Canis lupus familiaris: one gene and its partner. The protein of the gene in region 2 purifies or fractionates together with the protein of the main gene of each other region. This does not show direct contact. Links are inferred from orthologs where the notes say so. Each region holds a gene or a part of one and is shown on either strand. Other genes may lie near its edges.

Evidence for each region.
Region 1: the proteins of HSD17B10 (region 2) and TRMT10C purify together in Homo sapiens (co-immunoprecipitation; 3 studies listed by BioGRID and IntAct, counting the BioPlex papers as one, with this or other methods). This does not show direct contact. The link is inferred for Canis lupus familiaris from reciprocal best matches to the Homo sapiens genes HSD17B10 and TRMT10C.

Annotation. Positions count from the first base shown.
Region 1 is NC_049254.1:8,358,086-8,362,571, reverse strand, and holds TRMT10C (tRNA methyltransferase 10 homolog C), read right to left. Parts: upstream 2,960-4,486; 5' UTR 2,818-2,959; coding exon 2,773-2,817; intron 2,080-2,772; exon of another isoform or gene 1,446-2,079; coding exon 168-1,445; 3' UTR 40-167; downstream 1-39. UniProt on the Homo sapiens protein: Mitochondrial tRNA N(1)-methyltransferase involved in mitochondrial tRNA maturation. Component of mitochondrial ribonuclease P, a complex composed of TRMT10C/MRPP1, HSD17B10/MRPP2 and PRORP/MRPP3, which cleaves tRNA molecules in their 5'-ends.
Region 2 is NC_049260.1:45,502,037-45,506,333, forward strand, and holds HSD17B10 (3-hydroxyacyl-CoA dehydrogenase type-2), read right to left. Parts: upstream 2,884-4,297; 5' UTR 2,756-2,883; coding exon 2,729-2,755; intron 2,378-2,728; coding exon 2,213-2,377; intron 1,591-2,212; coding exon 1,426-1,590; intron 1,327-1,425; coding exon 1,198-1,326; intron 1,116-1,197; coding exon 1,007-1,115; intron 801-1,006; coding exon 610-800; 3' UTR 473-609; downstream 1-472. Other genes in the region: RIBC1 (RIB43A-like with coiled-coils protein 1), read left to right, coding at 97-178. UniProt on the Homo sapiens protein: Mitochondrial dehydrogenase involved in pathways of fatty acid, branched-chain amino acid and steroid metabolism. Acts as (S)-3-hydroxyacyl-CoA dehydrogenase in mitochondrial fatty acid beta-oxidation, a major degradation pathway of fatty acids.

The DNA of each region.
Region 1 (4,486 bases), on a different chromosome or scaffold from region 2:
AAGTGGAATTCCATTTAGGAAGAAATATACCAGCAGAACTGTATTTCCACCGTTTGCCTTTTCTCTTCCAGTTTTATTAACTGACATACATTACAGTATAAATTGGAGGCATACAGCATCATGGTTTGATTTACATATATTGTGACCATTTAAGTTATCCAGTATTCTCATTTAAGCCACCTTTTCTGTGTGTGTATTTTTAGAGAGTCTTTTGGAAATGAATTAAAAGTCTTTGACCTCTTCAATCTGTTGACAAGCTCTTCTTGAGAAGACGGAGATATCTCCAGATAACCAGCATGTTTTCTCTTAGGAACAAACCTCAGAGCCTCTTCCCAACTACCAGTGTTTTTCAGGCATAACAAAATACGCATCATTTGATCTAAGGTGAGATTTTTGGTACCAGTATCCCACTGTAAATATCTATCTAATGGAAGGCATTCTGTTGCCAGCTTCAGCCGTTTTGCTTTGGCTAGGGATATGCCTTTCTGCGTTCCTTTATCAACAAAAGACCCCACCACGTAAATTTTATCATGCTTGAAAGTAGTCATAACATTGGGAGAATCTGCAGTTAAATATATAATACTATCCTTTGGGAATAAATCTATGTAAGACTTTTCTGTTGTTGTTAAAAGCAATTTACTCCATTTTTCTTCATAACGTCTAACTAACTCTTTATGATAAACACCACCTACTTGAAGGTTGCAGAAATAAATATGGAAAGGATCGACATCTCTTCTGTTCCATCCTTCAGATTCTAAAAGTTGGCAAACAGTATTCCGAAGTTCTTTTGGTTTCATATAGTTACCATAATCCATGTCAAAAACCAAAGGCTGCCCGAATTGCATGGCCTGAGCACCTTTCCAGCCCATAGCAGTGTCCATATTCCTATCCCAAAGTCGTAGAAATAGAAAGTTTTGCTGTTTATCTTCCTTAGTGGTTTCTAGCAGCTGGTCTTTTATTGCTTTTTCCTTTGTTGCTGCTTTCAATTCCTTTTTTGTTTGCCTAGCTTTTTTTGCTTTTTCCTTGATATATAAATATCTTAAGTATTTTTTCTTTGATGATTTAGAAACACATTCCATGGCAGTTTTGAGTTCTTCTTCACTGATGTGTTCTGGTACTTCTCTGCCAAGCAATCTCCACATCTCAATTAACTCCTTCATGGCAACTACAGGATCTTCATCTTTGCTACCTGAGTCAGCTGAAACATCTTGCACACTAGATTTCATCGTAATTTTCCAACTATCCAATTCCAGCTTTTCAGGAGGTGATGTACTCTCCTTATTGGGATAGGACACAGCTGGTATCTTGGAAGACAAGTATCGTTGCAGAACTCCTGAACATAAAACCCTTCTCTTCCTAGGAATGGTAAATGGCACCAAAAATCTGGCCAAAGATCTTAAGATGATACTACCATTCATTTTGAGGAAAACAGACATGTAAGACCCCTATAAAAGAAGCAAAATGTAATGCAAAGTTAGATAAAGATGTTTAAAACCTGTCAACTAATTGTGCAAGTATAAATTTGAGACCCCCAAAAAGCAACTGATTTTTGAAACACAAAGTAAGCTCAACGTTATTTGCTATTCCATTAATTTTTCCTAGACTCCTGTGGCCTAGAGCCTGTAATCACTCACCAGGCTAAAAGTTTAACTTATTTGGGTTATTTTAGACATGAATTTCACTATTGCTTCAGGGAAAAGAATACCTTGAAGATCTTTTTTAGATTTGTATTTAGGGGCCCAGGATAACAGTATTTCTGGGTAACAAAGTAATGTACTGCTGAAAGGGGGAGATCATGACACTGTATTCTTCTCCATTCTATACTGAGTCCGGATACAGACCCAAACACAAGATCCTTAACATAAGCAACACGTCAAGACAAGAAGACGAAGGGCAGAAAAGCTAAAGAGGATGGCATCTACTGAAAAAAACCCTTAGGAGCTGCTTTATTAATGCTCTTATGTTTTCAAAAAAGAAACAGAGGAAGACCTACTTATTCAAAAACAAAATAGAAGTGCGTGGGTGCCTCGGTCTATTAAGCGGCTGCCTTGGGTTCGGATCAGCAATTTGGAAAGGGAAGGGAAAGAGAGTATCTTTTTTTTTTTTTTTTAAGATTTTATTTATTTGTTCATGAGAGGCAGAAACACAGGCAGAGGCCAAAGCAGACTCCCTGCAAGGAGCCTGATGTGGGACTCGATCCCAAGACCCTGGGATCACAACCTGAGCCGAAGGCAGATGCTGAGCCACCCAGGCGTCCCGAGAGATTTTATTTTATTTTTTTTTAAGATTTATTTATTTATTTATTCAGAGAGAGAGAGAGAAAGAGGCAGAGACACAGGCAGAGGGAGAAGCAGGCTCCAAGCAGGGAGTCGGATGTGGGACACGATCCAGGGTCTCCAGGATCACACCCCGGGCTGCAGGCGGCGCCAAACCGCTGCGCCACCGGGGCTGCCCTCCGAGAGATTTTAATATGTTGATTTGAAGTGTTTCTTGTGTTGAATGGTGACTGAAGCCATGGAGATAGATTAGACCTCACATGTAAAATTTTAGATTGGAAAAAAAAAAAAAAAAAAGAGGGCTACAGACAGGTATTCATCCATTTGCTGAAGCCAGAAACTGGGAGTCATTTTATTACCGCCCTCACACCCACCATATATAATCCAGCGGAATTATAGTCCCTTTATTTTCTAAGTACATCTTGACTCCAGTCACTTCTTTTGAATCCCATTATCTTAACTGCATCCTCTAGCGTCCAGATCTGCTCTGCCTCACCTCTAACCCATTTGGAGTTAGTGCAAATCTGATCAGTGCACTCATATCGTTCCCAGTGTGTATTTGAAATCCATGGCTGCCAGGCTACATTGCAAACTTGGCTCAAAGTTTTCCACAAAACTTCAGCTACATCTCTAGTTATTCCTCATCTCAAGCTTCGCTGCAAGCATCCCTCCTACTAGTTCTTACAGCACACTCGACCTCTCTATCATAGCGTTTGTGACGCTGTTTGGTCTTTGCCAGGCTACTTACTTGTCTGACGAGGTGGTACATGCTACCAGGACAAGGACTCTACTAACATTGAACTCAGTGCCTGGCAGTTTATGGCTGATAGGAATGACTTAAGTATTTTTCAAATAAATATCCTGGACCAATCGATTTCACATTTAAAACATGTTCCGTTATATTTTTTTAAAACAAAGTTTAGTTTTGGGGCAGGTGGCTGGCTCAGTTGGTAGAGCATGTGACTCTTGATCTTGGGGTCCTGAGTTCAAGTCCCACCTTGGATATACAGCTTATTTAAATATTCTTTTCTAGTTGCTTTTTTTTGTTTTGCCCCCCCCCCCTTTTTAAGACTTTATTTATTCATGGGGGGGGGGGGTGGGGGCAGAGGGAGAAGCAGGCTCCATGCAGGGAACCTGACGTGGGACTCGATCCCGGATCTCCAGGATCACGCCCTGGGCCGAAGGCAGGCGCTAAACCGCTGAGGCGTCCCTTTTTTTTTTTTTTTTAAAGTAATCTCTTCACCCAATGTGGACTCTCACTCAGGTCCCCGAGATCAAGAGTCGAGGCTTTTCAGACTGAGCCAGCGGGCGCCCCATGTTGACATCTTTCCAAAACAATTCAGGCTCCCTGAAATATTTAACGGGGAGTCCTCCGCCCCAATATGAGGAACACTGATTTCAGAAACAAAGTCCTTCGAGTTTTGTCTTTGTAACTCGCAAAGATTTTTTTTTTTTAGAAACGAATCCCAAAACGAATCCCAAAAAAAAAATTTTTTTTTTAATCATAGAAACGAATCCCAAATTTTAAAACAAACAAGGAAATCATTTACGGCAACAGGGCTCTTGTTCCAGGTCTCCTCCTCCTCGTTCCTGACCTCACTGGGCCTCCCCTCGCCTGCGGGCCTCCCGGGCGCACACGCGCCGCGGCGTTCCCGAGGGGGGCCCGGGTCCTCTCAGCTCAACACACACGACTAAGAGGACAGCAAACACGCGCATCCCTACCCGGAGTGCAGACACAGAGGCCCCGCTGCTGCCCGCCGCAGGGACCCCGGCGGGACGCGAGCTCCGCGGGGAAGCGCCGAGCGGGAACGCGCACCTCAGTCGCCGCTCCGCTCGGCGGCTCCGCTTCCGGACCTCAGGGGCCCCCGCCGCAGCCGGAAGTCCCGCCCCCTCTCCCCGGCGCTTCCCTATGACGTCGGCCGCTAGCCGACCGCCTTCCGGTCCTGACCGCCGCGCGGTCGTGGGGACCCTGGGCCCCGGGTTTGCGGCCGTGCCAGGGGCCTCTAACCCGCGTGTGCTCCTCGCTGGTTTTAACCTCTTACACCAACTCTTTAGAGAATTTCGCTTCCTCTTCACTTAACCTGCTCTCGCCGTGGTGAGAAAGTGCCCTCACGCAGTGCTAAGATAACGTCTTTACACGTGTCGCTCCTCGTCGGCTGCCTGATGCCAGGACTTTAACGCGGGGACCTCGGCGACCTGCTGCAGGGCTG
Region 2 (4,297 bases):
GTGGGGGACATGGATGAATGCCAAGGGAGGGATGGGAAGGGCCAGAGGGAGAGGAAAAGTTCATCAGCATCAGAGGCCTCTGAACTTCTTTCACAGGCAGAATTATCTGAATTCCATAATCTACACCAATCAGCCTACAACCCAATATCACCTGCAGTTCAACACCAGCAGCCGCTGAGCTCCAAATGACCATCATTCTCTTCTCCCTCACTGAGCTCATGAAAGCTGGGAGTCAGAGAGGAAGAGGCTGCAGACTCCCTTCCCAAATCCATTCCCCCACTATCCCTGCCTTTGGCCCTAGATAATAAAGTTATTACTAACATCAAGGCCATGTGTTGTAATGGGACACAAAAGGTATGAGGTGCTGCCTTTCCCACCCAACCCCTAGGCCTGCATCTGACCCTGTTAGTCTTCACCCATTCACCTGACTTCCCCATGCCAGTTTCCCCAGCACACAGCGTTACCCACTCCCTGTGAGAAAGAGAGACTTTATTAGGCACAGAGTGTTGAGCAGTTACAAGATGGCTACTGGACTTCCTCCCAAGCTGTAGTACAGTACTCCAAGGGAAGCAAGAAAAGAAGGGCACATGTTTTCTCTGCCCCTTGCCTTCAAGGCTGCATGCGGATGGCCCCATCCAGCCGGATGACCTCTCCGTTGATGAATGGATTCTCGATGATGGCTTGTACCAGATGAGCATACTCAGCGGGATCACCCAGTCGGTTGGGGAAGGGCACTTGGCTGGCCAAGAAGTTGCGCACTTTTTCTGGGAGGCTGGTCAGCAGCGGGGTGCCAAATAGGCCTAGGCAAGACAGTCGGAGTCAGAGGCTCATCCTTCCTTTCTTATTTCCCTGGTCCCTTCTCACTTTAGCTCTACCATCGGGTACTTCCCGATGCCCAGAAATGGAAGGCTACTGCTGCTTAGCCGGGAGATACTTTCCGTCCTCTCAACTGCCCATGAATCCTACCTACCCTATACCAGGTGTGGCAGGGAGGGAATATGTCTACCTGGAGCAATGGTCATCACTCGGATGCCCACAGGAGCCAGATCCCGAGCAATGGGCAGGGTCATGCCCACTATGCCCCCTTTGGAAGCAGAGTATGCAGCTTGTCCAACCTGGGGAAGGAGTAGAGGTCATACATGGAAGGGCCCTAACAAGTCACCAAAGAGGCACAAGCCATAACCCCTACCCACACACCTGGCCCTCAAAGGCAGCCACGCTGGCAGTGTTGATGATGACCCCACGTTGGCCTCCCTGGTCTGGTTCATTCTGGCCCATCTCACCAGCTACCAGGCGGATCACATTGAAGGTGCCTAAGAGATTCACCTGAAAGACCAGAAGAGACATGGTGTAGGACCATTTGTCCCCTAAAATCTTTGGGGGCACCCACAGCCAAATACCTCTTACAGCCCTCAGAGGCCTTACATTGAGAACTCGCTGGAAGTCCTCCAAGGTATGGGCCTGATTCTTCTTTAAGTTGTATGTCTTGATGGCCACTGCAATACCTGCACAGTTGACTGCCACATCCACACGGCCGAACTTTTCTTTTGCTAGAGTCAGGGCTGCTTGCACGTCCTTCTCTGAGGTCACCTTCAAAGGGAGAAGTGGAGAAGGTATTCATCTCCCAGCACACACACTCACCACTAAACCTGGGCAAGGGGAGAGCAAGTCCAGTCTTTGAGTAACAACAGAATTCTGTAAGCAAGGAGGAGGCCAAAAGAAAACATGAGAGTGGGGCAAAAGTGAAAATGTGAGATACTGTAGAGCAGTGTCACATTTTTCAAATCTATATCCTGTTTCGATAAATTCACATACCCCTGGAGATTTCTGTAGACCAGAGCAGTTTCAAGAATTATTATGATGATGAACTGGTTTTTTTTGTACCTCGACTTTCCAAGATGATTTCACCAAGCTTGCTTTCCGTAGCCTCATAAAAAAATTTTCAACTTTGTAAATACAAAATTATAGGGCACAATATGCATTTTCAAACTATACATACCCCCTCCGCGAGATTCTGATATATCCAATTCCCATCCCCACTGCTGTGGCTCCAGGCTTTGTACATTCCTTATTGCAGGTGCTCCCACAGTGCTTGACAGATGGCTCAGGCCAAAAGGGACAAGGAGATGGGTCCACTGTCCACACAGACCCTTACCGAAGGGGACCCCACGGGTTCCCAGGCCAGTTTCAGTGACCTCATGCTCACACTTACATCAGCTGCGGCAAAGGTGCAGTTCTTCCCCAACTTCTTGGCTTGTACCTCGCCATCAGAGTTGGGCAGGTCCAGAAGCACAGCAGTGGCCCCTTGCCCCACCAGTCGCTCTGCCGTGGCCAGACCTAAACCAGAGGCTCCTCCGGTTACTAGAGCAACCAGGCCCTGTGAAGAAAGGAACGGTCAACGGTACTCGATGCAGACCAACCCCACCCTTTCATCTGCCTGTTTGTTCTCCAGGCTTCTGCAACGGAGGCTCCCCGGGGTGACCCAGGTGTGTTTCCTCTCCTTCAGAATAGGACCTCTGGGTGTCTCATCCCCAGACAGCCCATCCAGTCACCCCACACACATATGCGTAGGAGAGTTGACCTTCACCTCCCGAGCCCAACCGCCGCACTAGCAGGCCTAGACAAGTGTGATCCTTTCTCCCAGCACCGATCTCTACCCCCTAGAGCCACGGCCGCGTGGTCCCAGCAGGCGCAGCGGACCAGCCAGTAGATGCGAAGTCCCAACTACCTTCACGCCCCGACAGGCCGCAGCCATTTTGCTCCGAACTCTCCGCGGGCAGGGCGGTGGGGCAGGCGCAGATTGGCCGACGCAGAGGCGTGTGGCGGGGCGGGCGAGGGGGCGGGCCGCTGCGCCAGACTCCGGGGCGTGGCGTCGGCTGCTCGCCGCCGCAGCCCAGAGGGCGAGGCTTCGGCGAGGTGCCTCCAGAGTTCTTTCACCTGGGGTAAGAACTCCGTAGCAGCCGCACAATGGCAACCACCCTCTCCGCCCGACTGTCAGCCTAGTTTCTGGGCAGGCGGCCAGCTCTGCGGGAAGTAGGCGGACAGGAGATTGGGAGTTTTCCTTACCTCTCAGAAAAAGCCTTCATTCAAGCATAAACATATGAGAGACTCCTATATGCCAGGCTCTGTGCGGGTCCCTGGGGACGATACCAAGAGGAATACTAAAAGGTTCGTGCTTTACAGAAGGACACACTTCAGTTGGGGGAAAAAGGTAATTACAGTACAGACACAGACAAAGGAAGGGGCAGAGAACTAAATTCTGAGACAGACACGGATAGCCAAAGATGGAGATTCTGAGAGCCACTGAAGAGAAATATGTTAAGGAAGAGATCAGAGAAACAGATGCCAGACAGGATCACAGATATGGATATGGGGAACCACTAAGAGACAGAGAAGCTGGGAGACAGACATTCTGAGACAGAGCTGTTGAGACGCATAAGCCCAGAGAGGCATAAACAGAGAAACAAAAACATTGTTCATCAATTCAGCCTTTGCTACTGTCCCCTGTGTCAAACCTATTTTACATCCCAAAGCCCACATTAATCACACGTTGCTGACTGGACCTCAACCAGACACTGTCACTTTAGTTTCAGGTCTTTGGTCATCCTGGAACATCTTTCAACCAGCATCCCAATTAGAATCTTGAGGGATGCCTGGGTGGTTTAGTGATTGAGCAACCGCCTTCGGCTCAGGGTGTGATCCCGGAGTTGTGGGATCGGAGTTCTGGGATAGAGTTCTGCATTGGGCTTCCTGCAGCAAGCCTGCTTCTCCCTCTGAGGCCTATGTCTCTGCCTCTCTGTCTCTCATGAGTAGATAAATAAAATCTTAAAAAAAAAAAAAAGACTCTTGGGATCCCTGGGTGGCGCAGCGGTTTAGCGCCTGCCTTTGGCCCGGGGCGCGATCCTGGAGACCCGGGATCGAATCCCATGTCGGGCTCCCGGGGCATGGAGCCTGCTTCTGTCTCTGCCTGTCTCTCTCTCTCTCTCTCTCTCTCTCTCTGATATGACTATCATAAATAAATAAAAAATTTAAAAAAAAGAATCTTGAGCCCACCTAATCTACCTAATCTGACTTCCTTTTATACTCTTCCCCAAACCAATATCTTCAGGCCATAGATCTTTATCTATATTTTCAGCCCCATTAGTCTTTATGTTTCCTCTGTCTGAAGTATCTCCCAACATGCTTTCCCACCCAGAAGACTTCCCTCCCAGCCAAGTTGTTGACAACCACCACACTCATGGTTGCTATACCATATTCCTCAAATGATTTAGCACAAGATTTATAATCTTTCTGATGA